3 linked regions of the Danio rerio genome follow. The protein of the gene in region 2 interacts with the protein of the main gene of each other region in a biochemical or structural test. Links are inferred from orthologs where the notes say so. Each region holds a gene or a part of one and is shown on either strand. Other genes may lie near its edges.

Evidence for each region.
Region 1: the proteins of cltcb (region 2) and hip1 form a complex in vitro, tested with the Homo sapiens proteins (3 studies listed by BioGRID). The link is inferred for Danio rerio from reciprocal best matches to the Homo sapiens genes CLTC and HIP1.
Region 3: the proteins of cltcb (region 2) and clint1b form a complex in vitro, tested with the Homo sapiens proteins (2 studies listed by BioGRID). The link is inferred for Danio rerio from reciprocal best matches to the Homo sapiens genes CLTC and CLINT1.

Annotation. Positions count from the first base shown.
Region 1 is NC_133190.1:19,375,672-19,379,331, reverse strand, and holds part of hip1 (huntingtin-interacting protein 1), read left to right. Parts: coding exon 1-20; intron 21-1,869; coding exon 1,870-1,980; intron 1,981-2,074; coding exon 2,075-2,133; intron 2,134-2,324; coding exon 2,325-2,418; intron 2,419-2,501; coding exon 2,502-2,602; intron 2,603-3,660. UniProt on the Homo sapiens protein: Plays a role in clathrin-mediated endocytosis and trafficking. Involved in regulating AMPA receptor trafficking in the central nervous system in an NMDA-dependent manner. Regulates presynaptic nerve terminal activity.
Region 2 is NC_133190.1:19,716,713-19,720,472, forward strand, and holds the start of cltcb (clathrin heavy chain 1), read left to right. Parts: upstream 1-917; 5' UTR 918-1,182; coding exon 1,183-1,224; intron 1,225-3,760. UniProt on the Homo sapiens protein: Clathrin is the major protein of the polyhedral coat of coated pits and vesicles. Two different adapter protein complexes link the clathrin lattice either to the plasma membrane or to the trans-Golgi network.
Region 3 is NC_133196.1:37,155,540-37,159,199, reverse strand, and holds part of clint1b (clathrin interactor 1), read right to left. Parts: intron 1,056-3,660; coding exon 815-1,055; intron 334-814; coding exon 237-333; intron 1-236. UniProt on the Homo sapiens protein: Binds to membranes enriched in phosphatidylinositol 4,5-bisphosphate (PtdIns(4,5)P2). May have a role in transport via clathrin-coated vesicles from the trans-Golgi network to endosomes. Stimulates clathrin assembly.

The DNA of each region.
Region 1 (3,660 bases), about 340 kb from region 2:
CTGTCAAGGCCTTGGGCGAGGTGAGAGTCAGTCTGGGTTTTAGTTTAAGAAAACAGTTGATTGAACAGCAATGTTGGCAGGGCTCTGATATGTTTTGGGCATTTGAGTATCTGCTTGGGGGTCTTTCCTCATTTCAGCCCCATTTTTTTCCGCTCACTTTTTGCCAGTCTGTCTTGCTCAGTCTAAATAAAGGCACAAAGTAATGAAAATAAATCTTCGATAGATTAAAAAGAAATGTTAGAATGTAATTAGCAGAAAGAACCATTTTAGCACACTTTTCCTGAATGATTTATAATCTGCCAAAACCGGTATAAAGTATTACTGTTTTTTTTACTGCATATTATACAGCATATACTGTATATCGTCCAGTGTTTTTTTCTTTTAATATTTTGAATGGCTTTTTATTTGTATATTTCGGGTTTTAACTACTTTTTTTCGTAACATTTTATTCAGGATTTCTAGGTTCAGACAAAATCTTACCTACATTCTTAGTTATTTCTGCTGAGAATTTTGTAAAAACAAACTTTGGATTTATGTTGAATGATGTTTTTGGAGTGTTGTTGCTAAAAACTTAATATATGTAATAAAAATTTATACTTTTTTATCTTTAATATTTAAAATGCAAATCCAATTAGATCCACTAAATTGATAAACTAAACAAGTCTCTCATATAATACATCTACTAAAAGACAGTAAATACTACTAATAGTCAATAATATTACTAAAATTAATAAAAATTGAATAAATTAAAATTTACACACATTTACCCAAATAAATGAATCTGCGGAAATCTGCGAATGCAGATTCCATGTGGGCCTACTTATTCCCCAACAAATGAGCTCTTTACAGATGAGGGAATTGTAAAAAAACAAACAAACAAAAAAAAAACAACAACAAGCAAACAATAGTAATAAATATATCAAGATAAAAAAATATATATTCATACAGTTATTACCATCATAATGAATTTTCAGCAGATGCAATTGTACATCAAGTTACTTTGTGTTATGTTGTAGTTGCATCAAATTAGATAATTAATAGGTTAATTAAGCTCTAAATTGAAAATAAAAATATTGTAATACTTTTCCTCCTCTTCATTCAATTTACTGTTGATTTTCATAATTTGAAGGTTTTTTTAAATTGTCATTTTAATTTTTTAAAATGTATGTTTAAATTTCGATTGTCATTTTAGCTTAAACATTATTTTTTCTAAGACTGTTTCACATCTAATTTTTCAATTAAATTTGATTTCTACTTGTTAATAAACTGTTTTTAATTGTTTTTATAATTTAATTGTTCACTCAGGTGCAAAGGTGTCATCTAAATTCATTTTCGCTTTAGTTTTACATCTGATATTTCCATTTAAATTGATGTCACATTTACTTAATGTAAATAATTTGTACTATTTTAGTGAATGAAAACAACACTATTAATACCAGTAATTGATTTTATATTGTGAAACGGTATTATCTGTATATAGTATTACACATCATGAAGACCATGATATGCTTAAAGTGAAAATGAAAAATAAACTCCTGTGAAGTCATATCTTTTGGGGCAATCTTTCCGTAATACTGAATTTCAAAATATATTATTTGCAAATTCAAATGTTTAAATATAAGATTTTAAATTGAATAATTATTTTAATAATAATTTGTAAGTCATTAATCATTAGTATGCTCCGATAAATAAAAAACAAGAAAAAGCTAGAAGTCACTAACTGTAAATGTGGGAACAAGCATATTGCATTACTGTACTCCACACAGTTTGCTCTGGCTAAATATTTATAATTTTAGCATATATAGTAGACAGTAAACAAAACATGCTAACCATTTCTTGCTCGTATCCTCTTGTGTTTTGTGTGAGCAGAAGTTGCGTCCTCGGGGTTTGGAGCTGCAGCAGGGGGAGCTGGGAGATCTGGTGGAGCAGGAGATGGCAGCCACATCTGCAGCTGTAGAGTCTGCTGCCGCCAGGATTGAGGTAATCAGACGGCTCCCATTCAGACCGACGCTTAATAAAACATGAAGCGCTCCGGTCCACTCATCTAATGCTTTTCCCCTTTGCTCTCTCACAGGAAATGCTCAATAAGTCCAGGGCGGTTGACACTGGAATCAAAATGGAAGTCAATGAAAGGTCAGACTGACCGAGCCACATGTGTGTTATGAATACAAATACAGTGTTAATTCTCAGTGGATTTGTGAAAATGTCACTTTTTTTTCACTTGGATAGTGCTGCGTGTTTACTGTCACCCCAGACGCATTAGCCGACCCACCCTGACGCATGCTAAACAGGCTTTATTTGTTGCTTTCTGTCGCCCCCTGCAGGATTTTGGCGTCCTGTACAGATCTTATGCAGGCCATCAGAGTATTAGTTCTGTCCTCCAAAGACCTGCAGAGGGACATTGTGGAGAGCGGCAGGGTGAGGAAACCGAACACTTTGAGCAAAACACATGCTAGTGTTGAGTTTAAAACATGTTTCTGAAGTTTCTTGCGTGCTTACAGGGAGCTGCATCTATGAAGGAGTTTTACGCCAAAAATTCCAGATGGACCGAGGGTCTCATTTCTGCCTCGAAAGCTGTGGGCTGGGGCGCAACCATGTTGGTGTGAGTATTTCAGAAATTGAGGGGATGTATGTTGAGCTTGACATGGAATAGCCACAAGGTACTGATGTGGCAATAAACAAACAAACAAACAAACAAACAAACAAACTGAAAATTGTTTTTGAGAAATGTTACGATACGCCAATCTGTAACAATTTAACAAAAACAACAACATTTAATTGTAGATATTTCATATAATCACAATTGTATGAGATGACAATAACTGTGCAGAGTACATTTCATTTAGGAGTTTAGGCTCATAAAAGGAAATTAATGAATAAACATGAATCAAATTTATTAAAATTTTTGCAAATTAAAAGATGCATTTCACTTCACCTTGTGTCAATTACTGTATATTTACACACTGCCTCTAAAACTTTTGTGTCATAAAAAATTGTACAATAGGTTTGATTTTTTTTTTTTTTTGATTCGTTAATTTCCATTCGTAGCAAACATTTTGAGTGGTATTTTGACAATACAGAGCCACCGTACAAGTGGAAGCCAGGTTCCTGGATGCTAATGCTTGCAACACAGAGTGCTTTGACATTCAAAGTAGGGCTGCATGATATTGAAAAAATCTTACATTGCGATATTTTGTTTTGTTGCGATTATTTATTAATACAGTTGAAGTCAGAATTATTAGCCACCTTTCATTTTTTTTTTCTTTTTAAAATATTTTCCAAATGATGTTTAACAGAGCAAGGAAATTTTTACAGTATGTATAAAAATATTTTTTCTTCTGAAGAAAGTCTTACTTGTTTCAGATAGAATAAAAGCAGTTATTATTTTTTTAAACACCATTTTAAGGTCAAAATTATTAGCCCCTTTAAGCTATATTTTTTCAATAGTCTGCAGAACAAAACATCATTATACAATAACTTGCCTAATTACCCTAACCTGCCTAGTTAACCTAATTAAGCTAGTTAAACCTTTAAATGTCACTTTAAGCTGAAAAATATCTAGTAAAATATTATTTACTGTCATCATGACAGATAAAATCAGAAGGTTATTAGAAATTAGAATTAGAATTATTAAAACTATTATGTTTAGAAATGTGCTGA
Region 2 (3,760 bases):
TTGTGATAGAGTAATATTTTACTTCAATTTTATTTATATCTTTAGAGTGGAAACCAAACATGACAATTTTAGAGCAGTCCTGTATCCAGTGGAATTGTGTAAAAAAAAGAGAGGGGTTTTGACAACTGATCAAAATAACAAATGTTTTAATGTGTTGTGAAGAAAGAATCATTGTTTTTCCACCAAATATTATTATTTATGAACTTTTCTGAAGTTAAAACATTAGAGTTTGGTGTTGTCTTAAAATGAATATAACACATCTCCTTAAAAACGTGGAACTTTTTTTTTTTACTTAACGAAAAGCTCTAAATGTCAACATTTTAAATTAAGAAGAAAAGTCATCAGTAGTTTACAGAATAAAGTATACATTTCTATGTATTTGACTCAACTTTAAAAAGTAATTCGAAAAAAACGAATATTTTCAAATGGTCTCAAATATTTTCCATAGCTGCATACATGAGTGTTTCTACTTCTATCAGTTATTTACATTCTTCCAAATGTTTAACAAACATAAAGTACAAGTTTCTCAAGGACTGTATTTGGCTTCCTTACAACTTATTTAAACTAGTATTTGCTAGTATAAAACGATTCAGTAACGGCACTCTCAGACAGTTAGACGATTCGTTTTGAAACGAGCGATTTGTTGACGAACGAAAAGACACCGCTAGAGAGCAGCAGCCGGAACTGACGTACTCTGAATCAGAATTACTGAATGATGTGGCAAAAATAAAACGAATAACTTACAATTAACTAGACCACTTACAGCGACACTTGTATATCAAACATAAAAGGCTATGTCTCCAAACACTCACACAAACCAAACCAGGGCTTTGACAGTCGCCTAGTTGATGAACAAAATCGCTGAAATCGCGAATGTCCTTCCGCCGCAAAGTCCGCACTGCTGCTTCCGGATTGTCAGTCTGAGCTGTTTCCGCCGCCATTGCGGGTCTGAGTGAGTCCCATCCGTGCAGAGAGGGAAGAAAAAACATCAACCATCTGGCGGATTGGCTTGACACGACGAAAACGCGACACTTGCATTCTCCGCGTATTAAAAGCAACATTCCTACATTTGAGCTGTTTTGAATCGGGCTGTCCGCGGAGAGGAGGTCGTCGCTCGCTAAAGCTAGGCAGAATTTTTGCGAGGAGTCCGGCCGGGAGGATTGAGAACACAAAGCCCAAACCATGGCTCAGATCCTGCCTATCCGCTTCCAGGAGCACCTGCAGGTGGGTTTTCATCACAGTCAAGCTTTATGAGATAATTTTGAGACGTTAATAATCGGTGGCCGTGCTGTAACAGAGGTGACAGTGCTCGTTAGCTTTAGCACTAGCTCAATGAATGACCTCCCATCAATTTCAATGGCTGTGTATCAAAAACTCGCGAGCTGCCAAACAACATATCTAACGTGAGCGTTAGAATCAAATAGCATGCGAGGATGTGAAATGTGAAATGCTCAAATCAGAACATCGAGGTCGTTGTTGGGAGCAAAAACGTTTCAATATTACGTGTGAGTAATGTTGAGTTTGTGATGCTCAGAATATGCGGTCCTGGAAGGCAGGTCACTAGCTTTTGAGACACAACCTATGCAGGTGCATGCAGTGATCGGTGACAGGATTAAGGCAGCTTTATAAAGCTAAAAACATGCTGGGATTGATTTTGTCAGGAAATGTGTCGGTTGATTAAAACGTAAGCTCTCACATTTATGCATTGTTTATTGGTATTGAAAAAGGGGAGGTGATATTTCAAAATCTGTGATGAAAATCAAATGATTTTTAATAAATAAATAAATAAACATAATATGTACTCAGCCAGCATACATGCACATATAAAATATCAGGCATAATGACGGAAATTATAAGTAAACCAGAGATTGACAGGCATCAAGAATCGATTTGTATAGATGAAGGTTTTGTGCATTAACGTGACATTTTACTATTTTACTTCAAGAATCTCGACTTTTGTTGTAGTGTATAATGGAAACCGAGACAGTTGTTAAAAACATAATATTAAAGCATAAAAACAACAGCAGATTTATTTCAACACTATTTAAAGGTAAATAACAGTCCCTTCACACCCACAAGAAATATAGTAATGTTTATTTTACTGTATAAGGGTACGTTTAGTAGGCCTGTCATAATATCCATTTTTTGTTTTACGATATATAGCACCAACTTGTTTTGCGATAAACAGTATTAGAGTGATTTTAAGACACTATAATAGCATCATAATGCAAATACACTCTTTCATTTAATATATAATTATTGTCATTTTAACAACCAAACAATTAGGAATCAGAATGTGAAAATGTATATCCCAAACAAATGAATAATAATAAAAAATTTTGACAAAAAAAGTGCTTGGTAAAAAGAATCAGTAAAAATGTAACAGATCTATCTTCATTCGTCTGACACCCACACGAAAATATACTATAGTTCATTCATTCATTTTCTTGTCGGCTTAGTCCCTTTTTTAATCCGGGGTGGCCACAGCAGAATGAACCGCCAACTTATCCAGCAAGTTTTTACGCAGCGGATGCCCTTCCAGCTGCAACCCATCTCTGGGAAACATCCACACACACATTCACACACACACTCATACACTACTGACGATTTAGCCACCCAATTCACCTGTACCGCATGTCTTTGGACTGTGGGGGAAACCGGAGCACCCGGAGGAAACCCACGCGAAGGCAGGGAGAATATGCAAACTCCACACAGAGCCGAGGTTCATTCCAGGGACCTTCTTGCTGTGAGGCGACAGCACTACCTACTGCGCCACTGCCTCGTCATATACTATAGTTATTTATGTTTAATACTAGTTTTAGTTATAGTTTTTTAAATATACTTACACTAACACCTCCAATAGACAACAAGAGGCTGCGCTATCATCTAAAATGTGGCTAGACTTATGTATGGGCAATATATATTTTATCACCAAAAATGATTGAGGACATGTCCATATCTGCGATAACTTGATATATAGATTATTGTGACAGGCCTAACGTCTATCACTTTGTGGCATACTGTATTGACTAACAAATACGTTTAGTTTTGCCACAATAAACTGTGATGTAGATCAATATACCATATAATATATTATGAAATCATTGTTTTAATTACTAGAATTATTATGTTAACATAGCAACTATAATATTACCACAACAGTTTAAAGTACTTAAATATAGAACTCTTCATAAGTGCTAGTGTTTACTTTGTCATTGTTGTGTTTTTTTTTTTACATGTGGGCAAATACAAAATTTATAAACCAACATTTAAGTTTTGCATCATCTTTTTGTACATCTCCAATACTTGGTTGAAATACCAAAATTGAAATAGTATCTCTGTAATTGTGTAAATAAAGATTTCACTAAGTGAAATAAAATTAAAATAATACATTTTATAGCTTTATCAAATTATTGCTCTCAAGTTTTTATTGTGGGCGCCATGGTGGCGCAGTGGGTAGCACGATCGCCTCACAGCAAGAAGGTTGCTGGTTCGAGCCCGGCTGGGTCAGTTGGCATTTCTGTGTGGAGTTTACAATTTCTTCCCGTGTTTGAGTGTATGGGTGTTTCCCAGTGTTGGTTTGTGGCTGGAAGGGCATCCGCTGCGTAAAACATATGATGGATAAGTTGGAGGTTCATTCTGCTGTGATGACCCCTGATTAATAATGGGACTTAGCTGAAAAGAAAATGAAGTTGTTGTTATTATTATTATTATTTTTTTTATATGAGTTATGTACATCAAATGTTTTTCCTCATTGGAG
Region 3 (3,660 bases), on a different chromosome or scaffold from region 2:
AAAATACTGAGAAATACTTACACACATACAATACACACCCATAATGTAAAACTATCTAGCTGCATCACTGAAGAACATCTAATTGTAAGAGTAAGAAAATCTACATGAGTTAAATCTCCAGAATTAAAGAAAATTGGAAGAAATAATTAATGCCAAATTAGTTTGAAAGCTTAACCTTGTGTGAGCAATAATAAATGCTTAGCAAAAAAACATGCATTTAAATATGGAGAATGCACCTGATGGGGTTTTACCTGAAGACAACAGATGACCAGAACCAGACTGAACAATCAACAAATCTGTCAGTCCTGGGGTGGATGACTGATTTGCTGAGGTCTGAAAAAAAATATTATGATTTTATATTTTACCACACGATGGCAGCAGAGGTTTGCTTTTGTATCCATAATCACTACTACAGCTACGACTGTATAGGTCCACTCAAACTTTGTATTTTTAGCTTTGCAGTGTATGTAAAAAATATATTTTTAAAAAGCTGATTAAGTTACACTGATTAGGTTATGCATTATTTGTATTATCATGATGTAAATACTCGATATATAGATTTATAAATTGTCAACAATTGTAAGTAAGTAATATTTTAATCAATATAAAGTAACACTTGTTCAAAAAGAAGTAATGAACCATTAATGTGAAACTATTTTTAATAGTACATTAATGCACTTATATTCACAAGGCTCCTGTTGACAGATTTATTTTTTTCAAACTGAGAACACTGACATCAATTATGCCTTTATGAGCCATCTACTGTACTATTAAAGTAATAACAGTGGAATTAATTAAAAGGCCAGTATTTTACCTTGTTGTCAGCTTCTGGACTACTATTGTCTCCAGTGTAATGAGCAGCTGCACCCAAGTCAACTGTTTTAGATGGGACTCCACCACGTTTGCGTGTAAGGGTGGTGGTAGTGGAGTTGGAGGTGATTGTATCTGTGCTTTGAGTGATTTGAATGCTATTGGTTGTAATAATCTCCTCATCGTCTTTGAACTCCAACTTTGCAGGACGCCCATTCTGTGAAACTCTGTCCTCCTCATTATCACTGCAAGAAGAAATAGCAGAAAGACTAAGTTTATATTTTGAGGAACTTTGAACTATGCAAAACTCTGCTAGTCCCAATATCTACATTGTAGTTTGTAGCACCATGGTACTGCAAGACACATCACTGTACTCAACTGTATGTTCTGACGTGTAGTAGAATGACAATACGGCTTGACTTGACTTGAAATAATTCTTAATTGTTATGTCTTGACTGTCTAAACAGATTTGTATCAAATTAAATTATATACACTAGGTTTTCAAAAGGCATCTTTACACTACTAGGCATTCTCTAATAACAACAAACTTCCTATCATGCCTGACTCTCTCCATTCAGGTCACTCTCTTTGCCAGTCATGTCATTCTGACTGCAATTAGAAAATGTTTCATGATAGAGGCATTTTTTACGATCAATTTACTTGGGCCCGTTAGGCTTGCTTTTAGATGCTTAATTCCATTTTCTCACAGAATGCCTAAAATTGTCTGACCTTAACTGAGATACGTTGTCTGATTTCAGTGCTTTTAAAATGTTATAAAACCAGACTGCGCCTAATTTCTCCCCATTTTTTTTTTATAAATTGATGTTTTGGATCCTTTGGACTGGCTTGCTTGCTTAAGGCCTGCTCTTCAGCAGTCACATTTTAATTAAACTGAACTGAACTTCAGCAGTGAAATCTTTATTAAATAGAACTGAATCAGTTTTAATCTAACTGGAACTAACTGGAACTAACTGGAACTTAATCTAACTGGACTGGCTTGCTTGTTTAAGGCCTGCTCTTTAGCAGTTACATTTTAAACTGAACTGAACTTCAGCAGTGAAATCTTTATTAAATAGAACTGAATCAGTTTTAATCTAACTGGAACTAAAACAGTTGTACGACTTCTCTCCTGTCTGCCTTAAATGCTGGAATGTTCTACAAAGTGGCTTTTATTCTATTTTCTTCATCTATGGTAAGCTGTTTTGACACAATGTGCATCATAAAAGCACTACAAAAATAAAGACAAAACATCAATTTACTGGAACTTCTAAGTTTAGTTGCCTTGACACAATCTACTTTGTAAAAGCACTATAGACATAAAGATCAAAAGATAAAGATGAATGAATTTGTAGGAGAGTGCATCTCCAATAAATGTAATAAACATATTAAAAGTATAGATAAATACAACAGAGCAACGATACAAATAAAATATGAGCAGTCTTAAAGTATTCACTGAATAATATACACTGAATAACAAACAAAACACTGCATGTTCTTCACCATTTAAATAATTTAATACAATTATTTTTTTGCAAAAACTACAAATATTATAATTTGCTGCTGAAATATTTTGTGCAGCTCTAGAATACAATATTCTGCTTTTGAGAAAACAGCAATAATTGTGTTATATTACTGATATACAGATGTTACTACTTCAATGTGTTCCTTGTGCCGCCATTCATACCGCGGCGACGGCGGTACTTGATGCGCCAGCAGCATTTGACCGCTGGGTGGCACTTTAACCACAGATATTCAGCTTTGCCTTTTCACAATGCTAAACAGACTGTTCTGTAGGCGTAGCTTACTGTGTGTGATGTGATGTGTTCAATTAAAATATAATTTTAATTTAGTTTTTTCTGGTAATAGACATGCTCTTACACTATACTATGCTGTAGAAAAGACATGATGAGAAGTCAAAAAGCAAATATAAGAATTAAGTTATTAGCCTTCAGTGCCCGATTAAATTGCGTTGGGGTGAAAATAATGTTTTGATTTCTTTGACTATCATGGCAATGTTATTATCTCAAATCTTAAACGTGCGCATATGAAAAACAGCAAAATAATATAGATTATCCTGCCAGTAGAGCACATCACCTCACAGTTGTGAACTTGCGATCACCTCAACTTACATTTAAAATTTGTTTACCTGGTTTATTGTGAACTTTTTAAGTGCAAAGAGGATTCGTTTTGGAAAATAGAACTGAAGAAATGAAAGACAACTAAAGTGAAAGCATAAACATTCAGTACAAATAAGTAGTCTTAAATAAATAAATAAATAAATAAATAAATAAATAATTAAATAAATAAAGCAGTCTTTTAGTCTAAATATAGAGAGATGTAGTTTGCTATTTTGATAGGACTAAGACAAGATATTTTCATTTATGTTTTTAATTTACGTTTTTATTTACATTTTCGTTGTTGATTATATTTTACTATCTCATTTTATGTTTCAGTACATAATAATAAACGAATAATGAAAATAAATAAATAATGAAAATAGGACATAAATTAAGTCTGGCAGGTTTATTTTTAATAATTTAGTTTCAGTTGCGTTTTTTTATTTCAAAACGTCAATGTTCTGCTTTAAAGTATAACTGTTTTGTTTTGTTTTTTTACTTAATGGCTCAGTAAGTTTTGTATTTTAATTTCATATTCAGTCACCTTGCATATGCGTGTGAAATATAATGCCGCATAACCGCGGAAAAAGAAGAAAAGGCTGTCAGTTAAAGCTAATCAAAATTAGCTATATTAAAATACAGCATTTATGTTAATACAGGCAGAGTGTGAACAAACTCAAGGCTAAGATATGCGCTTGCTTTTTAGTGCATTTAAAATATAAATAAATGGGTT